6 linked regions of the Oryctolagus cuniculus genome follow. The protein of the gene in region 4 interacts with the protein of the main gene of each other region in a biochemical or structural test. Links are inferred from orthologs where the notes say so. Each region holds a gene or a part of one and is shown on either strand. Other genes may lie near its edges.

Region 1 (4,766 bases), on a different chromosome or scaffold from region 4:
CTGGACACGCCCCTCACGGACTCTGCCCAGACCCTCCCTCAGCACAGAGCTTGGCTTCCTTAGCTCAAGCCCCACCCACCGCCTACCCACACCCCATCCCAAGGCTCCGCCCCCACTCCCAGGCCTGCTGTCCTCTTACCTAGGGGCCTCTCACTCACCAGGGTTCTGGTCCCCTTCCTAGAGACCCCCACCCAGTGTCGCGCGCCCTCACCGTGGCACATGAACTCGGTCACGATGTAGATGGGCTCCTCGGACACCACGGCATACAGCTGCACCAGCTTGTGGTGCCGCAGCAGCTTCATGACCTGCGCCTCCTCCAGGAAGGCCTTCGGGGACATGGTGCCCGGCTTCAGCGTCTTCACCGCCACCTTTGTGCTGCCGTTCCACGTGCCTGTCCCACGGCCCAGCGCGTCAGGACTGCTCCCCCCGGGCCCAGGCCTTCCCCACGCCCCCCCCCCCCCAGAAGGCACCTCACATCTCCATACCCAGCCACACATCCCCGAAGCAGCCGCTGCCCAGCCGGCGCTCCAGTCCGATGGAGGCACGGCTGATCTCCCAGGCGTCCTTGGCCAGGCCCAGGGTCTGCGGCTTCATGGTGGCACAGGCCACCGTGAGCAGGTGGCACAGCCCATCGTTCACCTCTGGAGGGAGGAGGGCTGCAGGTTACCCATGGGCCAGGGCCACACCTCCCCCCCACCTCATCCCACTGGTGCCTGGTGCCCAACTATGAAGAACTAGGCCTCCCAGGAGGGCACAGGCCAGGAGGGAATGCACCCCTGGCCCTGAGTCAATGAACACGTATGTACCCAGGGAAGGGCGTGGCACCCCAGGGGGACAGAAGATCCCTACAGGACAAGGGGTTTTCCTGTAAAGACTGGGGGCTCTCACATGGGAGCTGGTCTTGAAGGAGAAAGTGAGATCAGGACAGGTGTAGGGGTGGGGAGTCCAGACAAGGTATGGACATGAGGCCCATCCTTGACCTAACCAGTCCAGGCAGGGCGTTGACCCCCACCCTGCCCTTGACCGACCAGCCAACCCTCCAGGTTGGGCCGTTCTGCCTCTGCTCTACTTCTGCTGCCTGAGTGTGGCAGCTGCTGCCTCTGAGCACTCTCCTCCTTCCGCCTTGCCCTGGGCATCCATGCCTGACCAGCCGCCAGGGTGTCTCACCAAAGTGCAGACAGCCTCTGCCATCCCCTGCTGTGGTCCCTGTCACGGTGGTTCCCTCCCTGCCACAGGGCAGTCCTAGTGCCCTGCTGGTGCTGGGAGGAGTGGGGTGGGGTGGGGAGGGGAAGGTGGGCATACAAGGCAGCTCAGTGCTTAAACTTCCTGTTGGGTTCAGGACTTGATGCCAGAAACTGGCCAATTCCCTGCTCAGATGCTAGGGGGCGCTGCTTGGCCATGGTGGGATGCCTGCCTCAGTTTCCTGGTGAAGCCCGCAGAGCAGTATCCTGAGCCCGGTGTGGCCACGAGTGCTTTGGGAGAACCCTCCCTTCTCTGGGCCTCCGTCTCTCCTATGGACAAGGGCATCAGCGGGCTGGCTCAGCGACCGGAGGCGCCCGCCCTCACCCATGTAGTGCTTCACCAGCTCCTGCACTGAGTCGAACTGGGCCCGCGTGGTGATGTAGTAGCCACCCGTGTCCAGCTTGCGGATCTTATAATGCTTCACGTGATCACCTCTGCTCTGGTCCCAGTCACGGATGGACAGCGAGTAGGCGCCTGTGGGTGGGAAAGGGTCACTGCAGGTGTGCTGTCGGCGTCTTCCCCAGTCTGGTAGCCGGAAGAGGCCAGGGCTGGGGGGCAGGGGGCCCCTCCCCACACTGCCAGGGCGCAGCCCCCACCTTTGGTGGTCTCACTCTCCCGAATGAGGAAGGTCCCCTGGGGGTTGCCTGGGGACAGCAGCTGCCTCTCTGCATCCTTCCTCCCGATCTTTCCGAAGTACCACCTGTTGGGAAGGGCAGGTGAGAGTCAGGGACACTCTGTGCAGACCCCAGCCCAGCCCCTTGGGCAGTCACCTCTGCAGCCAAGACTTTCCTCGCACGTACAATGGGACTCAGCCTGTGTGAAGATCCCAGAGCAGGGCGTGGAAAACCCCTGGCACATAGCAGGTGCCCAACAAAGGGGAGCTTTCCCGTCTCTACTCTTTGGGTTTCCTTGAGTTAAAAAAATTTTTTAAAAGGTCTTCATTCTGGTGGTTCACTTCCCAAATGGCTGCTATAGCCGGTGCACTCCGCTGATCCGAAGCCAGGAGCCAGGTGCCTCCTCCCGGTCTCCCATGAGAGTGCAGGGGCCCAACCACCTGCCTTCCCGGGCCACAGCAGAGAGCTGGACTAGAAGAGGAGCAACCAGGACAGAATCCAGCACCCCAACTGGGACTAGAAAGAAGCCAGGGTGCCATCGCCTCAGGCGGAGGATTAGCCTAGTAAGCCGCGGCACCAGCCCTTGAGTTAAAATTTTGAGGTCCGGCATTGTGGTGTAATGGGTTAAGCTGCTGCCTGTGATGCTGGGCCGGTTCTTGTCTTGGCTGAGCCACTTCTGATCCAGTGCCCTGCTAATGTGCCTGGGACACCCATGTGGGAGTCCCAGATGAAGATCCTGGTTCCTGGCTTCATCCTGGCCCAGCCCTGGCTGTTGCAGCCATTTGGAAAGTGATGGAGGATCTCTCTCTCTCTCTCTCTCTCTCACCCCATAACTCTGCCTTTCAAAATAAATAAATAAATAAATAAATAAATAAATAAATAAGTCTTTTTAAAAATTGTGAGAGCTGGGGCCGGCACCATGGCTCACTTGGTTAATCCTCCGCTTGCAGCGGCACCGGCATCACATATGGGCGCCAGGTTCTAGTCCTGGTTGCTCTTCCAGTCCAGCTCTCTGCTGTGGCCCGGGAGGGCAGTGGAGAATGGCCCCAGTGCTTGGGCCCCTGCACCTGCATGGGAGACCAGGAGGAAGCACCTGGCTCCTGGCTTTGGATCAGCGCAGCACCGGCCATGGCAGCCATTTGGGGAGTGAACCAACGGAAAGAAGACCTTTCTCTTTCTCTCTCTCTCTCTCACTCACTGTCTATAACTCTACTTGTCAATAAATAAATAAATAAATAAATAAATAAATTTGTGAGAGCAGCAGGTCTTGGCACGCATTTCAAATGCCGCTTGGGACACCTGCATCTTGTATCTGAGCGCCTGGGTTGGAGCCTTGGCTCTGCTCCCAATTCCAACTTCCTGCTGATGAGCACCCTGGGAGGCAGCAGGTGGTGGCTCAAGTTCCTGGGTCCCTGCCCCCACACGGGAGACCCAGCTCTGGAGCTTCTGGCTGCTGGTTTCAGCAGGTGGGAGATCTTTGTCTGATGTCTGCCTTTCAAATAAAGAGGCTGCTAGAACCCCAGTCACCGGTGACTGCACCAGGGCGTCTTGAGCCCCTGAGTCCCTCTCCTTAGGGCCCTTCACACACTCTCACAGAGGAGGAACTCGAGGCTCAGAGAGGGGAAGTGACCGCCTGTAAGACTGTCCGATGATTCCCACCTAGAACCCTTTGCCACCCAACTGACTTCTTTGCCCACCTCCGCCCTCCAGGCAATCACTCAGATCCCTCCCTTCCCCCATCTCCTAGCCTGTCCTCCCCGGCTTCCAGAAGAGCATCCTCTCTCCACTCTTCTCTGACAATCCTGCCCAGATCTGCTGGCTGCTTTTTCTCCACTCTCTTAAGCATTGTCAGTCCCAACATCAACCTCAGGCCTCACCCCTCCTGCTGGCACCTGATGGCTCTTTCTGGCATCAAACTGCAGCCGTAAACGGTGTGAGTACACCGTGGCCATCAAAGTGACCAAAGGTGGCGTAGAAGACTCAGATGTGCTGCAATTATGACATTGGCCTGTGGTCATCTTGGGACGAATTAGAAGGAGCATAGTTTTTGAATCAAGGGAGGTAGAAATCTCCAAAGTCTGGATGGTCAGCTCACACCTGGGTACTAGGCAGAATTTGGGAAACAGGAGAAGGCCCTGGCAAGTGGCATGGCCAGGAGAACAGGCAGGAGGGGGATCAGGGGCTGTTGAAGGGCAGTGGAGACAGGACACCTCCCCAGGTTGTCTCACAGCCCTGCCCCCACCTGCGTCTATGACATTAGTGGTTTCCTTAATAAGCAATATAATAATAACAGCACTTATTTTGTTTCGAGCTCTGCCTTAATACCACGTGCATCCAATCAATTTGCAGACCCACACTTTGAGATGGGTGCTCTTGCTGGCCCCAGCACACAGATGAGGAAGCTGAGGTTCCCAGCGGTCAGGCAGCTTGCCCAAGGCCACGGCGCTCTGAAGCTGTGTTGCCAGAATAGGAACCCGAGCTACAGCTCTAGGGCCTATGCACTTGACCATGACACTCACGTAACCACAGCACCACACTGAGTGCAACCCAGCTTCCGAGACACTGCCTCCCAGAGGATATGCAGACGTGAACCACCTGCCCGCTGCCTCCACCTCCCTCCCCAGACCAAGGCCCCAGTGCACTTGGGCTCTGGTCCTGCCCACGCCCTTCTGCTCAGGGACCCTGTCCCCACCGCGTGAAGCAGCCCCAATGCCCGAAGGGGCCCCGTCTGTCCTGCTCCACCCAAGAAAACTGTTCTGAGTCCTGTCTTGTCACCCACATCCTGCCGTACCCTCCCCCTCTGCTTCTCACCTGGTTCTCCACTTCGTCACCTCCCTCTCACTTCTCACCAAGGTCACCTCCATTGCCCAATGCAGTAGCAGCCTCTGCTCCGCCCCTCATTTCCTGAAA
Region 2 (4,766 bases), on a different chromosome or scaffold from region 4:
GGGGGGGGAGGATATCTTCTATTTACTGGTTCACTCCCCAAATGGCCACAACAGCCAGAGCTGGGTCAATCCGAAGCCAGGAGCTAGGAGCTTTTTCCAGGTCTTTCATGTGGGCGCAGGGGCCAAAGGATTTGGGCCATCTTCTACTGCTTTCCCAGGCCATATTAGAGAGCTGGATTGAAAGTAGAGCAGCTGGGACTCGAACCAGCACCCATATGGGATGCCAGCACTACAGGCAGCAGCTTCACCTGCTACGCCACAGCACCAGCCTCTGGACCTTTCTTAATTATCATCTTTCCTTACTGAAAAGAAAACCAACTACTGAAATCACATCTAGGGGCTTTTAGGAGCAAGAATTAAGAATAAGCAGGCTGAGAACTTGGAAGAAACAAGGAGAAGGAAAGGACAAAAACTGCAACACTAACTGCATCTTTCAGAATAACCCAGTTTTTTAACTCCCATGAACATAACCTTAAATGAGAAGTCATGACTTTGCAGAAATTAAAACTGAAAATGAAAACCAAACGTCAAAGAACCCAAAAGGACAGTCTTAACAGGTTTTACCTCTAATGCCAAGGCTGTCTTGTCGTAAGCACAGGGCACTCTTTTCTGGATTGCTTTCGCAAAGACAGGTCCATTCTGTGTGGATGGCAAGGGGTTGATGGCTGCCCCAGGAGTACTGGAAACTGCAGGTAGAGGAGTTGTGGTCTGAGGTTGAGCATACGCATGAGCAGGTTCTGGGATCCCATAGCTATTGGAATTCCTATTTCCGTGCTTTCCGTGTGGCGAGGATCTCACGAGCTTTTCAACATAAGGAACAGGGATCATCCCGACCCGACCATCCTTGTTCCGGGCGCTCCACCACTGTTCTTCAGGCTTCTCTACTATCACCAGGATCTCACCTTTTTTAAAAGGCAGGTCTTCAGCATCATTCCCAGGAAAATCATAGAGAGTCCGTACATATTCCAGATTTTCTTCTGCTGTAGGCAGGTTGGGTGCCGAGACAGATCCCATTTGTGGGCTTGGATACCTTAAGAGAGAAAGAAAATTAGGAGAAAAATCTTACCAGTGTCATCAAACTTTTTTTTTTTTTTTTTAAGATTTTATTCATTTTAGAGGTAGAGTTACAGAGAGAGAGAGAGAGACAGTGAGAAAGGTCTTCCATCCACTGGTTCACTCCCAAATGGCCACAACGGCCAGAACTGGACCAATCTGAAGTCAAGAGCCAGGAGCTTCCTATAGGTCTCCCATGGGGTGCAGGGGCCCCAGCACTTGGGCCATCTTCCACTGCTTTCCCAGGCCACAGCAGAGAGCTGGACCAGAAAAAGAGCAGGCAGGACTAGAACCACAGCCCATATGAGATGCCAGTGCTGCAGGTAAAAACTTAGCCCACTATGCCACAATGCTGGTCCCTATCAAATTTTTTAATAAACCACACTCCTCCATAATGAATTATTTCTCTATATTTATTCTCAGGAGTAAGAAGGTTCTTTCAGATTGTACTTTCTGTAGTCTTTAATGAAAGTCAATATCCTGAGTATGCCTTTTCAAATTACATGTCAAATGTATATACACACCACATCTGCTTTATAAGTTTTTGTTTACATATAGATACCCAATTTTTTTTTTTTTTTTTTTTTTGGACAGAGTTAGTGAGAGAGAGAGAGAAAGAAAGGTCTTCCTTTTTCCGTTGGTTCACCCACCAAGTGGCTGCTATGGTCAGCGCGCTGCGCTGATCCAAAGCCGGGAGCCAGATGCTTCCTCCCAGTCTCCCATGCGGGTGCAGGGCCCAAAGACCTGGGCCATCCTCCACTGCACTCCTGGGCCACAGCAGAGAGCTAGACTGGAAGAGGGGCAACCAGACAGAATCCGGTGCCCCGACCGGGACTAGAACCCAGGGTGCCAGCTGATACCCAATCTTAATTTATTTTTAAAATCTTAAGTTCAGTAGCTGCCTTCCATTGGACTTTGTCACAAATGCCACAAATTCTTTCTCCCAGTCCTAATTTAATGACACATCCTGCACATTTCCCTGGCTACACAGAGAAAAGATGAGAAAGGTCTGCCTCTGGTCCCTCAAAGTACAAAAACCAGATGTCTACCAAAATAAAATTACCACCTGATCATCAAAATGAGCATCAATGAAACTTACACTGCAAAACGCACAGGTCAGAGCCCCCATGTAAGCGTCAGTCTGCTGCCACCACTGCAGCTTTGCAGTGGCTACAGATATATTAATATCTGCCCAACGACATGTAGGATGAACTCCCAGGGTCAGCCACACAAGCACAGTCCTGCTAACACCCACCAGAAACACGAGTCTCTCCTCGCCTGAGACAAGGTTTGAAAAGCTGGAAAGCCACCAAGTGGAAAAAAACGTTTCTTCCCCTTCCCCTTTTCTGAAGCCCAGAATCTACCCTAGGCTGGGGTGCCTCCAGAGTTTGTATCTCACTAAGAGGGGGCTTCACCAAAGCCTGCATCCACTCCAGAAAAACTGCGGCAGCTTTTCTTCCTAAAATCACAGCACAGGTGTGTCTGCACATCACTGGCCTCCACCACCTCCACTGTCACAGCATTCTGTGAGCACAACATAAGGAAGCGCCCCTGGATAGTTCACTGTTTCTTCATGTTTAGCCGTCAATGCCACACACTTTGAGCATATTTTCCCTTTATCACTTTTTTAACTTATGACTCCCAGAACTCAAATAACTAGGTTAAAGAACGTGAACATTTATTATGGCCCTAAATATATACAGCCACATTACTTTTTTTTTTTTTTTTTAAGATTTATTTACTTATTTGAAAGGCAGAGTTACAGAGAGGCAGAGAGAGATTCCCCCATCTGCTGGTTTACTCCCCAAATGAAAGCAACGGCCAGAGCTAGGCTGATCTGAAGCCAGGAGCCAGGAGCTTCTTCCGGTCTCCCATGCAGGTGCAGGGGCCCAAGGATTTGCACGATCTTCTGCTACTTTCCCAGGCCATAGCAGAGAGCTGGACTGGGACCAGTGCCCATATGGGATGCCGGCACCTGAGGCTTAGCCCACTATGCCACACAGCACAGGGGAAAAATAAATCTTAAAACAAAAACAAAAACAAAACCTTGTATCTCTTTTTACTACAACTACTTTCATAAGTCATAATGATTAGGTGATTAGGAGCTTGATTTAAAATTTCAAAGGCCTTGTTACTTATTAACAATTTTATAACCAAGGGCAAACTGCTTAATAGCAGTTTGTCTTAAAAATATCAGGTGTGGGCCGGTGCCGTGGCTCACTAGGCTAATCCTCCGCCTTGCGGCGCCGGCACACCGGGTTCTAGTCCTGGTCGGGGCGCCGGATTCTGTCCCGGTTGCCCCTCTTCCAGGCCAGCTCTCTCCTGTGGCCAGGGAGTGCAGTGGAGGATGGCCCAAGTGCTTGGGCCCTGCACCCCATGGGAGACCAGGAGAAGCACCTGGCTCCTGCCATCGGAACAGCGTGGTGCGCCGGCTGCAGCGCGCCGGCCACGGCGGCCATTGGAGGGTGAACCAATGGCAAAGGAAGACCTTTCTCTCTGTCTCTCTCTCACTGTCCACTCTGCCTGTCAAAAAAAAAAAAAAAAAAAAAAAAAAAAAGCTAGATTTCAAATTGTTGCACTACAATAAACTTATCTCAAACATTATTTTGAGAGAGAAAAAGCTTTCACCTGTTGGCCTACATGCAATACACCCCTCACCTTCCTTCCACATCTCTTGCTTTGCTCATTCCAGTTTTTTTTTTTTTTCCTAAAGATTTATTTATTTGAAAGGTAGAGTTAGAGAGAGGGAGAGAAAGATCTTCCATCCACTGGTTCACTCCCTAAATGGCCCCAACAGTCAGGTCGAGCTTCTTCCAGTCTCCCATATGCGTTCCCAGGCACATTAGTAGGGGGCTGAATTGGAAACTACCTCAGACTGGAACTAACCCCCATATGAGATGCTGGCGCCGCAGCTTTAACCCGCTGAGCCACAGCACCGGCCCCATTCTGTGTGATTCTAAGGGCCAAACCAACATATTCAGTCCCCACCTCTTCCCTCAGTAACAAATCCATCAGGTTACTAAAGCACACCTGGCTGCCATTAGGTTCCCCAAAAGACTTCCTATTGAAAACAACTGCCCCCCTCACCTAATCCTTTCTCTTCCCTCAAAGGCATTTCTTAATCCTCTCTGAAGTCAAACCTCTTCCCTCACTTTCTTTTTCTTTTCTTTTTTTACAGGCAGAGTTAGAGAGAAAGGTCTTCCTTTTCCGTTGGTTCACCCCTCAAATGGCCACTACGGCCAGTGCGCTGTGCCGATCCAAAGCCAGGAGCCAGGTGCTTCCTCCTGGTCTTCCATGCGGGTGCAGGGCCCAAGCACTTGGGCCATCCTCCACTGCCTTCCCGGGCCACAGCAGAGAGCTGGACTGGAAGAGGAGCAACCGAGACAGAATCCGTCGCCCCGACCAGGACTAGAACCGCGGCAGGTGGAGGATTAGCCAAGTGAGCCACAGTGCCGGCCTCTTCCCTCACTTTCTACGCTCAACTGCCAAGCAAGGATTGAGTCCCCACTTTACATTCCCAACAGAGTTAATCTTAGTTCCGCTGGTCATGGTTTCTCTCCCATAGTAGCGCTTAATTAACTTCCAGTCTCTCCCTAACCCAGTCCACACCAGAACAGTTTCTAAAAAGTAAAAACCTGGCGGGCTCCCACTGCCAGACTCATTTACAAGGCATGGGGGTGGGGGAGAGGGGCCCCGGCTTTCCAAGTCAGCTT
Region 3 (4,766 bases), on a different chromosome or scaffold from region 4:
CCGGGATCCTGGCTGCTCTGCTTCCAGGGCAGCTTCCTGATAACTTGTGCCTGGGAAAGCAGAGGAAGATGGCCCACGTGTTTGGGCCCCTGCATCCACATGGGAGACCTGGAAGAAGCTCCTGGGTCCTGGCTTTTGGCCTGGTCCAGCCCCAGCTGTTGTGGCCATTTGGGGAGAGAACCAATGGATGCAAGGCCTGCCTCTCTGTCTCTCCCCCTCTCTCTATAACTCTGCCTTTCAAATAAATAAATCTTTTTCAAAAAAGTTAAAATGCCTGCAGTTATCAAAAGTACCAGTGTAGGAGCAGAGGGACAGGTGTAAGGATGTCCACTCCTGTCTTTCTTACAATGGAAAGACCAAACAAATATATAAAACAATCAATCGCTCATCAATAGAGAACTGGATGGATGAATGGATTGTTCAATGGAATGAAATAGGAGGAGGGCGAAGGGGACTTGAAAACCCAGGCATGGAAAGCCCACACCTGCTACTAACTCACAGGCACGCGCACACGCCCACACGAGCACGAGTGATGCCACGGCACGGAAGTGAAGGGGCAGTCCCGCCCCGAGGGGTGGTCCTCCGAGCACAGCACTCAGGGCTGAGGAGAAACCCAGGTTTGGGTAGGCAGCGTTTGTGCGCAATGTATGAACAAACACACAAGCATTAAAGAAAGTGAAAAAGATATACATCCAGGGGCCAGCGCTGTGGCGTAGCGGGTAAAGCCACGGCCTGCAGTGCCGGCATCCTATATGGGCGTGGGTTCAAGTCCTGGCTGCTCCACTTCCAATCCAGCTCTCTGCTAAGACCTGGGAAAGCAGCAGAAGATGGCCCAAGTGCTTGGGCCCCTGCACCCGCGTGGAGACCTGGATGGAGCTCCTGGCTTTGGATCAACCCAGCTCCGGCCGTTGTAGCCATCTGGGGAGTAAAATAGCGAATGGAAGACCTCTCTCTCTGCCTCTGCCTTTTAAATAAATCAATCTTTTGAATACACAGACACACAGACACACACACACACGCACGCTCCCCGCGGCCTCTGCGCGGCCCTCACGCCGCCCCCCAGACTGGCGCCGGGGCTCACATGCTCGCATGAGTTCGTAGACCTTCTCCGGGCAGCCTTCCGGGCGCTCCATGCGGTAATCCTTCTCCAGCAGCTCATAGACCTGGGACAGGTCGATCCCCGGGTACGGCGACATGCCGTAGGTGGCGATTTCCCAAAGCAGCACTCCAAACGCTAAAAGGAAGGAGAAGGAGGCTGGAAGGCTCACGCCACTGCAGCAGACACGCCAGGGGCACCCGCAGAGGCAGCCCCGCTGGTCCCGCACGAACCACCAGCACCCTGGGCAGCGCAGACAGGAGAGTGCCTGACACGGACGGAAAACACTGCGGGAGGGAAGACGGCGAAGCCATCAGCCCCCCGGGGCCTTTCAGCCAATGCAACCACCTCGCGGGATGTGGGGTGTCAGGAGCCTGGGCCGGCAAACAGGCAGCCACAGTCTACGCACAGGTCTGTGGCCGGCTAGCTGTGCGCCCAGCACAGGCCGCCGTGGCTCTGTGGCCGGCTAGCTGTGCACCCAGCACAGGCCGCAGTGGCTCTGTGGCCGGCTTGCTGTGTGCCCAGTACAGGCCACTCATTTCTAGGCGTACAGAATTATCTCCTCTGCCAACTCAAAAAACTGCCAAACAAATTTCATGGAATCTTTGTAAGTTTTGCAACCCCAGCTTATGGCCTTGACACTTCCTCCCCTGTTGAAGGAACCGGGGCTCCGCTGAGAAGCAGGGACTCAGGTGTGAGTGAGCCTTGTGCATCCTGCCATTCCAGACAGCATGGACATCATGGAAGACTCCAAGGGCAACTCCAAGAGGACCAGGAGTTACCCTGAAGCTCCCGCTGGCCGACGATGAGATACAGCGGGTTAAGCAGCTCCTGGGATTCCCCTCGTCCCACACAGGAGTGCCTGGTTCCAGTCCCGAACGCTCCATGCTTCTGATCCAGCTTTCAGCTAATGCACCCAGCACAGAGCAGATGACGGCCCAACGACTTGGGCCCTTGCCATCCACACAAGAGGCTGGGACAGCTCCTGGCTCCGGGCTGAGCTCCGGCTGTCCCAGGCATTTGGGGAGAGACCCGCAGACGGAAGATATACCTTGCTCCGTGTGTGGGTGTGTGTCTCCCCCTCTCTATGTGTCAGATAAAGCTCCCCGGTTCATAATGACATCAGCAGTGACAAACAACAAAACCTCACGGGGCACCACGGAGGGGCATCAACAGACCAGCTTATCTCAAAAACTGGTAAACAAAGGCAGAGGAGCAGGCACTCACCCTGCCGCTTCTACGCTAGTACTAGCACCAAGGCCCGGGCAGACAAGGGGAGGGGCTTCTTGCAGAGCAGCCTGCTAATAAGTGAGTGAGGAAAGACGGATCCAGGGAACCTCCTCCTGGCATCCCTTGTCAAGCAGCGCGTCTAGGCGCTGGGTGTCGGCACACGCGGACAGGACGCACTGCCGAGGACAGAGCACGCCACCTTCCCAAGTCCTGGTGGAAGAGGCCCAAGGCAGGCCCGGATGTGACGAAGCTGCCGACTCAGCGACCCAGCGACGGGACCCCAGAAGCAGCGGTGGCAGAGAAAACCCACCACGTGGGAAACTCAAGGACAAGCGACGGAGCTTCTGCATAAAAGGAAACCAAGGGAAAAAGGACACGGAGAGGGAGCCGTGGCTGGAGGCGGCTTCGGCAAAGACCGGCCAAGCACTGCGGGAACCACACCTGGATCTCAGTGCAAACTGTGAGAAACAGCCCGAGCTTCACAGTCCAGCTAGCTGGGAGCCGAACACCAGACACAAAATAACATGGGGCCTGGGATTCGCTTTTAAAAACATGAGGGTTGGGGGCCAGCACTGTGGCGCAGCGGGTTAAAACCTGCAGTGCCGGCATCCCGTATAGGCAGCGGTTCGAGCCCCGGCTGCTCCTCTTCCGATCCAGCTCTCTGCTGTGGCCTGGGAAAGCAGTGGAAGATGACCCAATAATAAGTTACAGCAAGCTATTCTGCATAACTGAGGAAGAAAAAGCTCACTCTCACTCTACCTTGACAAGAAAACAAAGGGGAAAGGATTTTAAATGACAAAGAAGCAGGCGGTTCCTGTGGTGTAGTGGTTGTTACGCTTGCCCTGGTTTGAAACCGGCTGGGAACAAATGGCCCTTTCTCTCTCTCTTTCTTCCTCTGCCTTTCAAATAGACAAAACGAATCAAAAGTAGAGAAATAAAGTGAGAAAGAAGGAGAAGTAATGGAGACCAGGGACTGGAAGGGAAAGAGCTGGTGCATGAGGCAGAGGAGAACGGAGCAAAGCCCCCCGGGAGTGGACTGCGCCGGGCAGCGGCTCTTACCCCACACGTCGGACTTGATGGAGAACTTGTTGTAGGCCAGGCTCTCCGGCGCGGTCCACTTGATGGGAAACTTGGCTCCGGCGTGGGCCGTGTAGGTGTCCCCTGTCATCAGCCTGCTCAGGCCAAAATCAGCCACCTTCACCAAGTGGTTTTCCCCTACCAGGCAGTTCCGGGCAGCAAGGTCCCTGGGAAGGAAGGTCACCGTGAGACCCCCAGGATTCGGCTGCCCAAATCCACCACCAGCAAGCGAAGGTGCAGAATTGGCGAGGCAGACGGCGTCGGCCCCTGCAGGCATTCAGACCCTGCAGGCTGGGGGCGGTGCCAGCCCCTGGGCGCATGGCCTGAGCCCCAGCACGGCGCCAGGGGCAGCCCGGGAGGCACTGAGACCTGCAGCAGGTTAGTTACCCTGTAAGGTGAGGATGATGATAAAGGCACCTACACCCTGGGGCTGCGCGCGATGAACGAACGTGTCAGGTGCTTCCAGCAATGCCTGGAGAGCAGCGGCGAGTTACGTAAGGGCGCCGTTACCGCTACTGCACGCTGGCACGGCAACCAACGCTCAGCCCAATCCTCCGTCACAAGGAACGTAGGTAGGACAGTCTCCACTTGTCCTACCCAGGCATGACCAGGACGGAGTAAAATAAAGCCCGGGCGCCTCCACCTAGATTCTGCCTCCTCCCTCCCTCTCTCTTCCTGATGCTCACCCAAATGCCTCCTCGCAACTCTCTTCCTCCCGCCTCCTGAGCCTCCAGGGAGGCAGCCGTTTAACCTCTGCTCCACGGATGTTAACCACAAATGCACAAGGCACACCGGGGTGCAGGAGTGCGAGGAGGCAGCCGCATGCAGCGACGGCTGCGCGGGAGCCTGGGCATCAGCAAGGAGAGAGGCATTAAACACGAAGAGCTGTGCCTAATGGGATTTCGGCAAAGCATCTTAAGTGTGCCTGAGTGAAGAGGGAGCAGACCAGCCGTGCACGGCAAACCAGGAGTCAGGAAATCTCAATGTGCAGCATCAGAGGGTTCACGTCCCGAGTGACGGGAGCATCTGGACCAGGCTCCTGTGGGGCACGGAAAATCTGAGGACGAGGAGCTGCCCGCGACTCCTGCGCCGCTCTGCTTCTCTGCACGGCAACCTCGTGTAGAGGTTTCACACTCGAGTTAACTGGGCAGGAAAGGCCACGCGGCGGCGCGGCAAACATCTCGTCTGCGACTCGGCGAGCCCATCAGGCTGCGTCCTGCATGGGCTGTCACTTTGCTAGGAGGCCATTTCCACCAGCAAAGAATGCAAAGCCCGAGGCAACTGGCACACTTGAAGGTCAAAGCACTCCAGGCTGCAGCGCCAGCAAGACGCTTAATTCAGGCCTCATACCTGCGTTCTGACA
Region 4 (5,555 bases):
TAAGGCTTCCTTTGGTTTCCATGAGTACCACCAGGGAACTCCCTTCATCCCCAGACCCCTGCGGCCACAGCCATGCCAGGGCTCACCCCTACACACACCTGCACGGTTTAGGCTGTTTTTAGACCAGAACCCTAGCGCAGCCACTCTCTCCGTGACCTTGTGAGGCCTTGCACCTGCAGGGCAGAAGCTCCCTGGGATTCATCTCCACACCTGTGATTTCCTTGGCACCCAGCGACTATTTCCTGGCCTAAACTGGGTCCTAACGACTCTTACTCCCTCCAAGCAGGTACAAGAGAGTTAAACGAGAGCTTGAATCCAGAGGCAGTCTGTAAACATGGCAAGTCTTTGTAAACAGAGCTGGGGCAACACAAACATTAGCTGTAATAATTCTCCCACTCCTTCAGAGCACACACATCCCTCGCCCCTACCTCGCCTCTCTTCCCAAGGGTGAGGAGGGGAGGGGGTGGCCTAGCAGAAGTGGCACAGGAGTTTCCCTGCAGGTGGAGGGCAGGAAGGGAGATCTCTTTCTAGACCATTCCATCACCCAGAGGCAGGCACATCTACCCTGGGTCCTGCCCCAGCCTCTGGACCCCCAGGCCTCCCCTCACCCATAGCCCTTAGCATCCCAGTGGCCTCCACACCCTCCTGCCCTAAGTCCCCTATGATGCTGAGAGGGCCCAGGAGAAAGGCAGGCATGGGCTGGACAGGAAGGGAGAGGACTCCACAGCCGGGAGGGGACCTCAGGCCCCCCAGCTCAGCCCCATTTCCCCTAGCCAGGTTCGGAGGTCCACCCCAAAACAGAACAGCATCCCTATCCCTTTAGGCTAAGGTTTGGGTCAAGCCATTCCTGTTGTGTGGACTTTGACCAACTCTTAAGGCCTCTTCATTGGCTAAGGAGCCTTGGCCAAGTCCGTGGGTTCTCTGAACTTCAGTTTTCCACCTGTGCCCCTGTCTCAGGATTGTTAGAGACGGAACGGAGCCATCTGCACTTGAGCACCTGCCTACAGGAAGCGCACTGCAACTTCTTAAAAACTTGAGGCAAGGGTTTCATCCAGCAGGAGTACAGGTGATCCCAGTTCAGGAGAAAATGCGCATTGTATTTGACCTTGAAAGTCAATATATTTTTCTTTTTACATTTGAGCCTTTCTTTGCTATTGTTTTTTTTTTTTCTTGGACATGAAAATGAACACTTTTAGTAGAAAGAGGGAAGGAGGTTCTTGGGAAGATCACACTGGAATTAAAATATGAATGAACAGTGAAAAGGATGCGTTTGGTGCAATTTACAAATCTTGACCGCTGAAAAAGATCTCAGCAAAATCCTGGCCCCCTGGCCCTTGCCCCTGGGCCTCCCCTTCCAACATCCCTGCCCCAGCCCACAGCCCTGGGGTAGAACCTGGCTGCTGGGTGGGATGTGCCTGCCTCTGTAACCATTCCCCATGCAACACACTCAGTGTCTCTCTGTAACTCAGCGTGAGGACCTGAGGAGGCCCCGGTCAAGAGGAGTCTACCCCAGCAACGCAGCCGCCACCGCCTGCTCTGCTCCCAGGCAAGGAGAGGAGGGCGGCCCCTCGCCATGGGCAGAGGTGAAGTTGCACGCCCAGGGAAGGAGGGAGGGAGGACAGGGACCTCCCTCTGCAGCCACCCAGCAGGCATGGGGCCACCTCCTGCTATTTACAACAGATCTGGCCCAGCACCTTGAGGGCGTTCCTGGAGAGGGCAGAGTTCAGCCTGCGTCCCCAAGTCATCAGGGAGACTGATGTTTGGCAACACAAGGCCCAGACACACAAACACAGACCATAATTCAGGACCACCTGGCACAGCCCCAGACACACACTGACAGCTCGCAGACAATGCGGCAAGGCCCTGGCGAGGACCCGGGAGAGCACCACGGATGCACTGCCACCCACAGCTCCCCAGACTCCCTGAGTGCCAGGGGCCACCTCACCCTGCTCCCACAGCACCCTCACCCAGGGATGCAAGGGGCAGTGCCCCCCACCGGCTCAGGTGGACCCCAATCATCATTTTCAATGTGCGGCTAAGGCTTGTGCTGCCCTGGGCCGGCTGTGAGCCCCACCACAAGCCAGCAGCCGCCTCCCTCTTTGGGCCCCGTTTTTCACCTGCAACGTGGCCTTCTGTTAGGAAGACGAAAGGAGGGAATGCATGCAAAACACCACCCACGGGCCCAGCAGAGTGTACTGGGCACAGAGTGTGTGTTAGCTTTTATCCTGACTTCGTGCAGGCGGACAGCAGGGTCGGGATACACACCTCTCCACTCACCCTCCCCGTCCCCTCACAGCAGGAAGCAAAAAGACAGCAGAAGCACCCGGCCCCTGGGATACCCCCGTCTGGCCACAGCTGCCCCGATATGCCGCCCGTGGAACTCTCCAAACCAGGAAACCCACCCTCACCCCTCTCTGGTCCAGGCTCTCCACAAGTCACAAAGCCCGCAGGCCCTGTAGGAACTGGCTCAAAACAAACCAGGGCCCCTCCCCCTCGCCCAGACCCCAGCGCCAGGGACGCGTGCAGCTCGCCAGGCCACTCTCCCCGGCCCGCGGGGCAGGTTGCTCTGCCCACCTCCCCCTTCACCCCCGGCCCCGCCTGAAGCCGGTACTCAAACGCGGGCGGCTGGAGGGGGCGGGGAGGGGGGAGGGGCAGGGCAGAGAGGACCCCCCCCCAAGGAATCCAGCCCAGTCCAGTCCGGAGGCGGAGGCTGCCAACTGGAAAGGCTTTGAGAAGGCTGGCGGGGGCTCGGCGCGGGGAAACACGCTCGCGCGCGCGCGCGCGCACGCACACTCCCACACCCACCCCGCAATCCACCTCGGCGAAAACTTTGGGCGCAATCTCGGAGAACTTTTCTGACAAGTCCCCGGAGCCCGCTGGGAGTCCGGCAAGCGCCCGGGCCCTAGAAAGGGGCGATCTCGAGCCGCTTCGGTGGGGGTCGCCCCCAACCCCGCCTCCACCTTCTCTCGCCCCCTCCCGGCCCGAGCGCCCCGCGCCGGGAAAGCCCGAACTTAACGAAACTTCGGCGAGGAGGGCTCGTCGGGCTCCTCGGCCCCCGCCAGCCTGGGACTTCGGACCGGAGACCCAGGCTGCGGGGGGGGCCCTTCACTACCCCATCCCCTCCCCACGCCAGACCCACCTTGGGTGCCCGCGGTTCCGGGGGGCAAAAGGGCGAGGAGGAGCCCCCAGCGGTACCAGGCCGCCAGCTCCATGGTGCTCACTGCGGCTCCGGCCCCATGGCTCCGGCTGGACCAGGCTGGGAGTGCGCGGGGCTCGGCGAGGGGGTGGGGGCCGGGCGCGCGGCTGCCGGCGGGCACTCCTAGTCTCTCGGCTCGCGCTGGAGGGGAATCTCAGCTCCACAACTTCATTCTCGTACTTCCTCAAGCAATCCTACTCCTCCACCACCTCCTCCTCCTCCACCTCCTCCTCCTCCTCCTCCTCCTCCTCCTCCTCCTCCTCCTCCCGTGATTGGGAGCAGGCGCGCTCACGGCTCGCCCCCCCACCCCCGCCGCTGCATTCCAGCAAGTCTGGGAGTGGCAACTCCAGCTTCGCTTTCTCCCTCTCCCGGCGCAGGCCTGGGTGCGTCCGTGCCAGCGCCCGGACGCCGGGGTTGCCCGCAGCAGTCCTCACGCAGAGCCGGGCAGAGGGATCCCGCCGCCTGCCCCGGAGTGCGGGCGAATTCTCCAGGCTGCCACCCTCCGGTCTCTCCGAAGCCTCGGGTTAGATCTGCAACATTCCCGGGGAGTTTGCATCCTACCGCGTCCCGCGCCTGTTTGTTGTGGTATCGAATAATGGCTTGCCCGCCGGCGCACTCAAGTAAACCTGCCGGCCTGGGAGCGGGGATGAGCTGGGGTCCAGGTGCGGCCTCCAGGAGCCCTTTGGACAGCTCCTCGGCTGTTGTAGGGATCTGGTCCGGGCTGAGAAGCAAGACCTACACATTTGGGAGGGGACAGTGAAATCGGAGGCAGCAGGGCTTCAGTCCCTGGCCGAGCGTTCTTGTTTTCCGTAAGGCTACGCGCAGAACCCAATCCCTCCCAGGTTTGTTCCTCGCCTTTTCCCGCCTGCTGAGCGCCACCCCTCCACCCTGCATCCATCCCGCCTGAATTCCGGCCCCTACTCTTAAACCTCCGTGGTGGCAGTGCGCCTGGAAAGAAGACCGATTTTTGCTGAAAGACAAAATACGACATGGGACATTGTATCCTAACAAATTGCTCATTATTTATCTGAGATTCAGATTTACGGGGCACCCTTATTATTATTTGCTAAATCTGGCAATTCTGAATGCCCCCCCACTCCACCCCGGAGCCCAAGAGCACATCAGTACGGGTCAAGAGGAGTGAGACGCTGCTCTGGGGTCTGGAGAGAGAAGCAGACGGACGTTTCCTAACCTGCGTCGTGGGCTGAGCACTGAGAGAGGCAGGCTGGGAACAGCGGGCTCTGGAATCAGGGAGCCCTGTGTTCAAGTCGCGGCTCCATCACATATCAGCCACTCAGACGGCACTTGGCACATGAAGATTGCTCAGTACACACTTCCAGATTTACTCATAGTGGGAGAGATGTAGGTTTTGTGGGGTCTGGGGTTTATAAAATTTGAGAGACTCTCTTTAAAAAAGAGTTGGAGAGAGATGGCAGGACTCCCACATCAGAGTCCTGGCTGCACCATGCTTCCGATTCAGCTTCCTGCTAACGTGCCTGGGAAGCAGCTGATGATGGCTCAAGTGCTTGGGTTCCTATCACCCACACAGGAAACCTGAATGGAGTTCCAGTCTCCTGGCTTTGGACTGGCTCAACCCTGGCTGTTGTGGGCATTTGGGGAGTGAACCAACAGATGAAAAATAAACCTCTCTCTCTCAAATAAATAAATACATATTTTTTTTTAAAAGAAAGTGATGGAGAGGCCAACACTGTGGCATAGCGGGCAAAGCCACCACCTGCAGTGCCAGCATCCCACATGGCCTCTGGTTTCGGTCTCAGCAGCTCCACTTCCGATCCAGCTCTCTGCTATGGCCTGGGAAAGCAGTGGAAGATGGCCCAAGTGCTTGGGCCCCTGCACCTGCGTAGGAGACCTGGGAAAAGCTTCAGGCTCCTGGCTTTGGATCAGTCCAGCTCTGGCTGTTGCAGCCATTTGGGGAGTGAACCATTAGATGGAAGACCCCTCTCTCGCTGTCTCTCTCTGCCTCTGTTAACTCTGGCTTTCAAATAAATAAATAGATCTTTTTAAAAAAGTGAGGTACGTGCATGCAAATAAGAAGCCTCAAGCTTACCCTTCCTTAACCCCATAGTAAGTCCTCCTCTGGGTCTAACCAGGGATGTGCCAGCTGCAGTCAAGATTAAAGGGTGGACTGGGAAATCATTTTAGACCAAGAGAAGGCTTAAAAAGAAAAAAAAAGAAAGAACAGGATAGAAAAGATCTGAGCACATTGCATGCAGTGGAGGGTAGGTGTAGTTTTGTGTGTGTCCTGGGTAATTTATTCCTTGGATAAATCCGATTATTCCTTGGATCCTTGTCACAAACATTGAGGAAACACCGCTGTGTAAGTACAGGAGCTCACAGC
Region 5 (4,766 bases), on a different chromosome or scaffold from region 4:
AGAGAGTGAAAGAGAGATGGATATCTTCCATCCACTTGTTCATTGCCCAGATGTCTTAACAGCCCTGGGCCAGGACAAAGCCTTGAGCCTGGAACTCCATCTGGGTCTCCTATATGGGTGGAAAGACCCCAAGTACCTGGGACCTTAACTTAAAAATTCAAGTACCTGGGCTGCCTTCTGTTGCTTTCCCAGGAGTATTAGCAGGAAGCTGGATCAGAAGTGGAATAGCCAGAACTAGAACCTGCACTCATATTTAATTGCTGGCATTGCAAGCAGCAGCTTAACCTACTGTACCACAACACTGACCCTGCCAGTACGGTCTCGATTGCTTTTTAGTTAAGTGTGAAATTAGATCCTTTGAGTCCTCCAATTTTATATTTCTTTTAAAGTATTTTTGTGTTTATTCTGGCTTCCTTGTATTTCCATATGAATTTTAAGATCAGCTGTCAATGTCTGTAAAAAATGTAGCTGAGTTATTAGTATAGATTTAAGATAAATCTTGCTTTTAAAGTAGTAAATCTTTTGGTCTTTGAACATGAAGCATTCAAGGTATTTTACAGCAATGTTTTACAAATTTCTTACAATGTTTTAAATTTCAAGAATATGGTCAGCGCCGCGGCTCAATAGGCTAACTCTGCCTGCGGCGCTGGCACCACGGGTTCTAGTCCTGGTCAGGGCGCCAGATTTTGTCCCGGTTGCTCCTCTTCCAGGCCAGCTCTCTGCTGTGGCCCGGGAAGGCAGTGGAGGATGGCCCAAGTGCTTGGGCCTGCACCCGCATGGGAGACCAGGAGAAGCACCTGGCTCCTGCCTTCGGATCAGCGCGGTGCGCCGGCCGCAGTGCAATGGCCACAGCAGCCATTGAGGGGTGAAGCAACGGAAAAGGAAGAGCTTTCTCTCTGTCTCTCTCTCACTGTCCACTCTGCCTGTCAAAAAAAAAAAAGTTTTAAGAATATAAATTAGTTTAAAATTTCTTACAACAATATTTTGTATTTTATTCCTAAGTAATTTAATTTTTTGATGCTATTGTATTTTCTTAAGTTTTGCTTTCAGATTGATCATTATTGATATACAGAAACACAATTACCTTTTATATATTGATTTTGTATCCTATAATATTACTAAACTCATTCACTAATTCTAATGGTTTTTTTCCATTGTTTAGGATTTTCTGTATGCCAGATAATGTCATCTGCAAGCAGAATTAATTTTCTTTCTTTCTTTCCCACCTCAATGTCTTTTATTTAATGTATTTCATTGTAATGGCTAAAAATGCTAATATAATTTGAATAGAAATCAACAATAGAGTGGACGTTCTTATCTTGTTCCTGAACTTTGAGAGAAAATATTGAATTGTAATAATTTTTTTTTACCCTGAAAAGAGTAGGTTGTATTTTTGCTTTGACGACTAATTTCCTTTTGATTCAAGATGTTTTCCCTTCTGTTTAACATACACAGATATGTGCTGATTAGAAAGCTGAACTGTGCAGTGAGAAAGAAGGACAAGCAGTGCCTTACAAAAATGGGGTTTGGGAGTGACCTGAAGAATTCACACGAAGCTGTGTTAAAATTGCAAGACTGGGAATTACGGTTACTGGAAACAGTGAAGAAATTTATGGCTCTGAGAATAAAAAGTGATAAAGAATATGCATCTACTTTACAGAACCTTTGTAATCAAGTTGATAAGGAAAGTACTGTACAGATGAATTATGTCAGCAATGTATCTAAGGTAAGAAGAATTATTTCATCATTCATTGCATATAACATCATAATTATGCTCACAGCAAATAGATCATTCTATTGAATGAGCATACCCACATTAACATACTAGGACAGTGGTTCCAGAATTTTTTGCTGAGTATCAGAATCTTATGGGGGAAGGTTTCCAAAATTATTTTGGGAACTTACCTGCTGATATTCTAATTCAATAGGTCTACAGAGGGACTTTGAAGTTTTTTCTGTAAATAAATATACAGGTTATTCTAGTGATTAGTCAGACTTGAGAGCTATTGTTAGAAATATTGGGTTTTTAAATTTTGTTTTCTGCTTTGGGTCAATTGACCTTTGCTGATTATTTCCTTTGATGCAAAGAAAATTTTAACCCATATTCCTGAATTCTTTGATGAATTGTTTGAAATATTTTAACCCATACCTCTCTCTTATTTTCTATCATTTCTTTGCTAAAATACTGGTAAATAAATAAATTAGTTTCCTCTTAAATCCACTGGATGAACTATATCTATCGAGATATCTATATATATATATATGTAGATACTTAGATATCCATAGATAGATATTTTCTGTAAGTTATATAAGAGATATGTAAGTTATATAAGAGATATAAAATACCTATATAGATATATATCTATATAGGTAGATGGATGCTTCCTATAAGTTTGTTGAAATTCCATCCAGTCTTACTTGGCTCAGTTTTTTTTCATGAATTTGTGTTGGATCTTGTCACGTGGTTTTTCTTTGTCTATTTCTGGAGTGATGTTACCTTATCTCATTCCATATATTGGAAATTTGTGTTTTTTCCCTTTTTTCTGACCAATCTGGGTAGAGGTTTATTAATTTTACTAATATTATCTGAGAACTCCCTTTTGATTTTGTTGACTTAAAAAGATTTTTTTTTTCTATTGCTTTGATTTCAGCTCTGAAGTCTACTGATTTTTCTTCCTCTTAATTTGTTTTTCATTTGCTCTCCCTCTTCCCTTGGTTTATTAAGGTGGAAGCGGAGATCACTGATTTGAGACCTGTCTTCTTTTGTAATACAAGGGTATAGTGTTCTAAATTTTTTTCCGAGTACTATTTCATCTGTATCCAGAAATTTTTCTATGCTTATTTTAATTTTCTTATAGTTAGGATTACATTTAGTTTCCTTTTTGATGTCTTTTTTGACAGATGTGTTCTTTGAAAGATTGTTATTTAATTTCCAAATAGTTGTTTTTTTCCATATGTATTTTTGTTAGGTATTCTGAATTTAGTTTTCCAAAAACTTATTTTGTATAATTACATGTTTTTAAATTTTTGAATACTACTTGTTTTATAACCCAGAATGAGGTCTGTTTTGGTAAATGTTGTATGTATACTTGATAAGAATATATACTGTTACGGTCAAGATGGTTGATAGTGGTGTCCCACTGTATTGTTTCTTTTTTAGTCAGAGTTCTCCGGAGAAGGAGAAGCAGAAGGGAAGCTATATATATGTAACAGGGAAGTCGAGAAGTCCCTCTGTGTGCTATCTGTAGCCTGGAGAACTGGGGAAGCCAGTGATGTAATTCTGTCTAAGGATGAAGGTCTGAGAACCGGGAGAGCTGATCTTGTTCTCCCAGTCTGAGGCCAAGGCCCGAGAACCTGAGGGGCTGTTGGTATAATTCTCAGAGTACAAAGGTCCTAGGACTTGGAGTTCTAATTCTGACTTCAGGAGGAGATGCATGTCTCAGCTCCAGAAGACAGAGCAAATGAGCCCTTCTTCATCCTTCTAGTTCTGTTAAGTTCTTACTACATTGCATGATGCCTGCCCATGTTGGTGAGGATGAATGTTTTTTAATTAATTTTATTTAATGTATACAAACTTAATGCATTTCTTACATACAAATCTAGGAACACAGTTGTTCTTCCCACTCTACCCTCCCTCCCTCCTACACTCCTACCCTTTTTCTTCCTCCCTCTCCTATTCCCATTCTTCTTCTTCTTCTTCTTTTTCTTCTTCTTCTTCTTTTTTTTTTTTTTTTTTTTTTTAGGATTTATTTATTTATTTGAAAGGCAGAGTTACAGAGATAGAGAGAAAGTTACGGAGATAGAGAGAAAGGTCTTCCATCTGCTAGTTCATTCCCCAGGTGGCCTCAATGGCCACAGCTGGGCAGATCCAAAGCGAGGAGCCAGGAGCCTCCTCCAGGTCTCCCTCGTGGGTGCAGGGAACAAAGAACTTAGGGCATCTTTACTGCTTTCCTAGGTCATACCAGACAGCTGGATTGGAAGTAGAGCAGCTGGGACACAAACTTGCACCAGTATGGGATGCCGACACTGCAGAACGGGACTTTAACTGGCTGTGCCACAGCTCACAGCGCCGGCCCCTCCCATTCTTATTTTTAAAAAGGTCTATTTTCAGTTAACTTTATGCTCATAAGATTGACCCTACACTAAATAAAGAGTTCAACAAATAGTATGAAGAAAAAAAAAACTGACACTGTGAGGATGAATCTCTTACTTAGTTGAGTGATTCAGATGATGTCTCTTGTGGAAAAACCCTCATAGACATGCACAGAAATAATGTTGTACCAGCTTTCAGGTATCCTGTGATCCAGTCACTCCTGTTGCACTAATTATTGAGTTTTTTTTTTTTAGTGATTTATTTGAAAGATAGAGTGACACACACACACACACAACACACACACAGAGCTAGAGAGAGAAAGAGAGAGAGAGAGAGATCTTGTATCTGCTGAGAGAGATCGCTTGATCTTTTATCTGTTGGTCCACTCCCCAAATGCTTCAACAGCTAGGGCTATGGCAGCCAGAGCCAGGAGTCAGAAATTCCATTCAGGTCTCTCACTTGGGTGGCAGGGACCCAAGGACTTGAGCTAACATATGCTGGCTCCCAGGTGCAGTTAGCAGAAAGCTGGAGCAGAAGCAGAGGTGACTCAGTCCAGGTACTCTGATATGGGATACAGGCATCCCAAGTAGTTGCTTAACTACTGCACCATGATGATCCCCTGAATTTTTCTTTATTACTTAAGGCTATTTGAAGTGTGTGCATTGTCTTCAAT
Region 6 (4,330 bases), about 17 Mb from region 4:
GGTGGGATAGAAAATAAGGTGAGGAAGCAGATACGCTCAACAAAGCTCCAGGTACCAGAAATACTCCAGTCATTTCCCACTTGGGGATTTGAGTTCTACTCACGGGATAAAGGCCGTGGGGGGAAAAAGGATGTACTGGGACAGCAAAAGAGGCCCAGGCACCAAAGTCCCCACACCCTCCATCGCCAGAAAATCCACTCCCCTTAATGCTGGCCAGCAACACAGAGCTGCCAGTGACACCTGCTGTCCCGTTCCCTGCTGAATCCTCCAAGGACTCAGTGAGCACGTGTTCCTCAAAGCCCTCCTTTGGGTCGGTATTGCGCCATAACAGGTAAAGCCCTCGCCTGCAATGCTGGCATTCCATACGAGCGACGGTCAAGTCTGGATGCTAATGGCGTAGGAAAAGCAGCAGACGAAGGCCCCAGTGCTTGGGTCCCTGCCACCCACGTGGCAGACTGGGAGGAAGCTCCCGGTTTCAGCCTGGCTTAGTGCTGGCCATTGCAGCCGATTTCTCTTTTTCTCTGCAACTCTTTCAAATAAGTAAATAGATAATTTTAACGTCAAAGGCCCTCCTTCAGTATTAAAGCCTAAAGAAGCCAACACTTTCCAAAAACAGCCAGCAGGTGGCAGGACTGGGCTTCAAGGAAGCCGGAGTGCAGGATACCAAGTGGGGTTGGGGGAAGACAATCCAGTGGCCCTGGCATTCCCTCCCCCACTATCCATAGTGTGGTTTGTGTGTGTGTGTGTGTGTGCTGCGGGGGGTTCTAAGACCCCCAGTGGATGCGTGAGACGGTGGATAGTACCAAACTGCATATATACTGCTTTCTCTTGCAAACACCACACACACACACACACACACACTTCTATGATAAAGTTAAATTAGTAAGTTAGGTATAGTAAACTAACAATACACAAGACAATTGTAACAACCAACAACCACAAAAAAATAAAAGTCATTTAAAATCTGAACTGTTTGTTCCTGGAATGTCCCGATCAGTATTTTTAGACCACAGTCACTTGTGGACCGTGAAGCCGCGGATGGGGGTGGCTGCTGTACTGCTTTCTCACACACCCACACACAACACACAACACACACACACACGGGGGAGAGAGGAGGGGGAGGGGTGTGTGTGGGGGGGTGCAGTGCTAGTGAGAGGGCTTCTGGAAGAAGGGCCTGTCCTGCACCTCTGGCCCTGGGGACTCGCTGGCGGTGGACGCGGTCAGTTTCTTAGGTGCGTAAGGTCCCGGGTGAGCACTCTGCCAACTACAAGGGCTCGAATCACTGACTCAAAACATCTTAAAAACCAGAGAAACACTGCTGAGGCTGTTGATTCTTGAGCCTCCTTGGTGACACATTTTCTGTTGTCACAGGCAGTCTCACACTTTATTTCTCAGACAATGAATAGAGAATTTGATAAAAGGGAGTGCTGCGGGTTTTGGTGTCTGTGGCAGGAGTGTCCCACACTGAGTGCCCGGAGGTGCTGGCCACCAGCCAATGACCAACTGCTTGTATTCCTAGTCGCACGTTTACTTTATACTCAGTCAGCATAAAACACAAGGGACCGAGATGCACACAGATGATGACCCCACCGCCCTCCCCTCCCCGGGCCACGCTCTGCAGCAGAACTTCACTTGCGATGTTCAATCAAGCCCTTCAAGGAGTCCTTACTGGACAGGCCTTTGGTTAAGAAGCCTGCACAAACATCAGTGTCTGAGCCCCAGCTCTGCTCCGACTCCAGCCTCCTGCTCACGCAGATCCTGGGAGGCAGCGGAGGCGGCTCACTCACAGGAGCCCCTGTCACCCACGTGAGACCTGGATGGAGTCTGGGATCCTGGCTTCAGCTTGGCCCAGCCCCAGCTGTTGCAGGCATTTGGGGAGTGAACCAGAAGGGGGGATCTCTTTTGGTCTCTGTCTTTCAAATAAAATGGAAAACAATCAAACAAACAAATACCCACAATCATGGGTCCTAATTCACATTTTAAAAAAGACACATCTCTATATTTAAATCTGCTGTTAAAAAAAAAATCTATACTTTAACCACACATTAATCTTAAACCAAAATACTAAGTTCTCTTTTAAAGTCTCGTGCTTTATATCATTTGTAAATTATTCTCTTACCCTCATGTTAAAAATAATTTTAGGGGCCAGCGCTGTGGCGAAGCGGGTGAAGTTGCCACCTGCAGTGCCACCATCTCATATGGGCGCCGGGTTGAGGCCCGGCTGCTCCACTTCTGATCCAGCTCTCTGCTGTGGCCTGGGAAAGCAGTACAACATGGCCCAACTCCTTGGGCCTCTGCCCCCATGTGGGAAGACCCAGAGGAAGCTCCTGGCTCCTGGCTTTGGATCAGTGCAGCTCTGGCCATTGCGGCCAATTGATGAGTGAACCAGCGACGGAAGACCCCTCTCTCTCTCCTTCTCTCTGTGTAACTCTTTCAAATAAATAAAATAAATCTTTAAAAATTATAAAAATAACTTTAATGTAATCTATAATAAAACGGCAATCTGAGCTTTAACCTAATTTAACCTAATTACCCATATACATGTGTTTATGTGTATAAACACTAAAGTGATTTGTAAAATTTCCGAGGGAGGGTTTCCTATGATAATTTATTAATCAGAACAGGACTGAAAGCAAAAAAAACAAAAGCAAAGAAAAAAACCCACATGGAAATGAGAACTCAAAATCTTCTCCACTCCTGCTTGCTAGCTCCTTACCACAAATCTACCACCTGGGACGGCTCCCCCCAAATCCTCCCCAGCACCTTGTTAGTTACAGGGAGGTCCAGGACGGGACTGGTCATCTGAGCACTGAGTCCACTGCAGGAACCCCCGGCGGATGCCCATGGAGGGACGCTGCCTGCCTCAGTCCTGGAGACGGCTCCCCCGGGGCTCCATCCAGGGCAGCAAGCCCGGACCATCAGGGTTTCAAAATAAAATGAAAATGCTGTCCAGGCTGGTTGGACCCCCGGCAGTCTGCGTGGCCAGACACCGACGCTGGCTGCACGATTCCCGTCAGCGGCAGCCGGCTTCCCGGCAGCGGGGCAGGAAACACTCACTTGACGGAGAGGGAGAAATCGCCGGGCGCGCTCTCGCTCTCGCGGATGAGAAAGGCCCCGTCATGCCGCTGTTTGCTGAGCATTTCTTCTGCCTTGGCTCTGGGTATTTTGCCAAAAAACCACCTAGAGAAAGAAGGCAAGGGAGTCAACAGTTACTTCCCCTGAAAGGAACGGGGACACCCACCCCTGGAGATGGGGGTAACAGAGCACTCCTTGCCACAGGGGCTCCCCGACAGACCACCCTTCTCCTCACTCCAGCTCCCAAGAGACTCAGCAGGCACTATGCAGGCCACTCTCTGTGGATACAGATGCTTAGACTGGCTTCCCAGGCCAGAGGATGTGAAGCCAGGAGGAACCACACAGGCAGAGACAGTCCCTGACTGGTGGCAGCCACTTGATGGGGGACTAATAATGAAGGGAGGAAATCGGGGAGGCAGGGCTACTTCTGCTCAGAGCCCAAGGGGGAAGGCACAGCCTCCACAGTGACCACAGTCGGCGACCTCTCGGGGCCCCCGTGACACCCAGGACACCACAATTCACCGTGTGTGCAGCAGCTACAAAATCACGATTTTCACTTGCAGTCAGCTACAGACTCCTCAGCTTCCCTGATAAACCACCCGGCCCGAAGAAACGTGGCTGAATTCACAGAAAAACTGGAGAGTGAGTGCCTTGTGGCTCACCAGGAGGAGAAGGCAAGAGCTTAGTCACAGCCACCCAGCTACTGCAGGTGAAAACCACTGCTAATTAGGACAAGACACTAAAAACAGTGTGCTCTCTGAAAATCCTCCTTAATGTTTTTGTCTTACTTAAGCAGCACTCACTCAATACGTGAACTATATTAAAGGCACCAAACAGTCCACTAAAGTTACAAATGTAACTGCATCTCTATCTCACTCCTAAGCAACCTTATTACGAGATGTCTCTAAAATAGTGTACCAGACAAAAACCCACAGCGAAACACCTGAACTGCCCAGAAGTCACCTGGCCCCCTCGGAGACCTCGGACCATGCTCCTAAATGGAATTACTTGTGACACCAGCTGCTGAGGAGCTGGGACGTTAAGTCCTCCGTGTCTACTAAGACTCAAGGGTAAGTCCTCCGTGCCTGGAAACCAGGCCACAAGGGCAGTCATACAGGAGGAGGACAGATGACCTCTAAGTACGGAAGGACAGCTGCCAGTGACAAGAGCACCTCCCAGTTTCCAGTGTCAGCTTTCGAGCTTACACTGCCCCTGATGGGGTGCAGGTCAGCGGGAATCCACCCAATAGCCTCTC

What was found.
Region 1: the proteins of ERBB2 (region 4) and FGR form a complex in vitro, tested with the Homo sapiens proteins (2 studies listed by BioGRID and IntAct, with this or other methods). The link is inferred for Oryctolagus cuniculus from reciprocal best matches to the Homo sapiens genes ERBB2 and FGR.
Region 2: the proteins of ERBB2 (region 4) and CRKL form a complex in vitro, tested with the Homo sapiens proteins (2 studies listed by BioGRID and IntAct, with this or other methods). The link is inferred for Oryctolagus cuniculus from reciprocal best matches to the Homo sapiens genes ERBB2 and CRKL.
Region 3: the proteins of ERBB2 (region 4) and ABL1 form a complex in vitro, tested with the Homo sapiens proteins (3 studies listed by BioGRID and IntAct, with this or other methods). The link is inferred for Oryctolagus cuniculus from reciprocal best matches to the Homo sapiens genes ERBB2 and ABL1.
Region 5: the proteins of ERBB2 (region 4) and FER form a complex in vitro, tested with the Homo sapiens proteins (2 studies listed by BioGRID and IntAct, with this or other methods). The link is inferred for Oryctolagus cuniculus from reciprocal best matches to the Homo sapiens genes ERBB2 and FER.
Region 6: the proteins of ERBB2 (region 4) and GRB2 form a complex in vitro, tested with the Homo sapiens proteins (4 studies listed by BioGRID and IntAct, with this or other methods). The link is inferred for Oryctolagus cuniculus from reciprocal best matches to the Homo sapiens genes ERBB2 and GRB2.

What each region holds. Positions count from the first base shown.
Region 1 is NC_091438.1:143,956,573-143,961,338, reverse strand, and holds part of FGR (tyrosine-protein kinase Fgr), read right to left. Parts: intron 1,943-4,766; coding exon 1,839-1,942; intron 1,717-1,838; coding exon 1,567-1,716; intron 642-1,566; coding exon 486-641; intron 392-485; coding exon 212-391; intron 1-211. UniProt on the Homo sapiens protein: Non-receptor tyrosine-protein kinase that transmits signals from cell surface receptors devoid of kinase activity and contributes to the regulation of immune responses, including neutrophil, monocyte, macrophage and mast cell functions, cytoskeleton remodeling in response to extracellular stimuli, phagocytosis, cell adhesion and migration.
Region 2 is NC_091452.1:29,686,595-29,691,360, reverse strand, and holds part of CRKL (crk-like protein), read right to left. Parts: intron 1,031-4,766; coding exon 565-1,030; intron 1-564. UniProt on the Homo sapiens protein: May mediate the transduction of intracellular signals.
Region 3 is NC_091432.1:233,492,734-233,497,499, reverse strand, and holds part of ABL1 (tyrosine-protein kinase ABL1), read right to left. Parts: intron 3,571-4,766; coding exon 3,386-3,570; intron 1,235-3,385; coding exon 1,082-1,234; intron 1-1,081. UniProt on the Homo sapiens protein: Non-receptor tyrosine-protein kinase that plays a role in many key processes linked to cell growth and survival such as cytoskeleton remodeling in response to extracellular stimuli, cell motility and adhesion, receptor endocytosis, autophagy, DNA damage response and apoptosis.
Region 4 is NC_091448.1:22,691,454-22,697,008, forward strand, and holds the start of ERBB2 (receptor tyrosine-protein kinase erbB-2), read right to left. Parts: upstream 3,434-5,555; 5' UTR 3,213-3,433; coding exon 3,140-3,212; intron 1-3,139. UniProt on the Homo sapiens protein: Protein tyrosine kinase that is part of several cell surface receptor complexes, but that apparently needs a coreceptor for ligand binding. Essential component of a neuregulin-receptor complex, although neuregulins do not interact with it alone.
Region 5 is NC_091445.1:31,467,847-31,472,612, forward strand, and holds part of FER (tyrosine-protein kinase Fer), read left to right. Parts: intron 1-1,455; coding exon 1,456-1,726; intron 1,727-4,766. UniProt on the Homo sapiens protein: Tyrosine-protein kinase that acts downstream of cell surface receptors for growth factors and plays a role in the regulation of the actin cytoskeleton, microtubule assembly, lamellipodia formation, cell adhesion, cell migration and chemotaxis.
Region 6 is NC_091448.1:5,226,938-5,231,267, reverse strand, and holds part of GRB2 (growth factor receptor-bound protein 2), read right to left. Parts: intron 3,181-4,330; coding exon 3,058-3,180; intron 1-3,057. UniProt on the Homo sapiens protein: Non-enzymatic adapter protein that plays a pivotal role in precisely regulated signaling cascades from cell surface receptors to cellular responses, including signaling transduction and gene expression.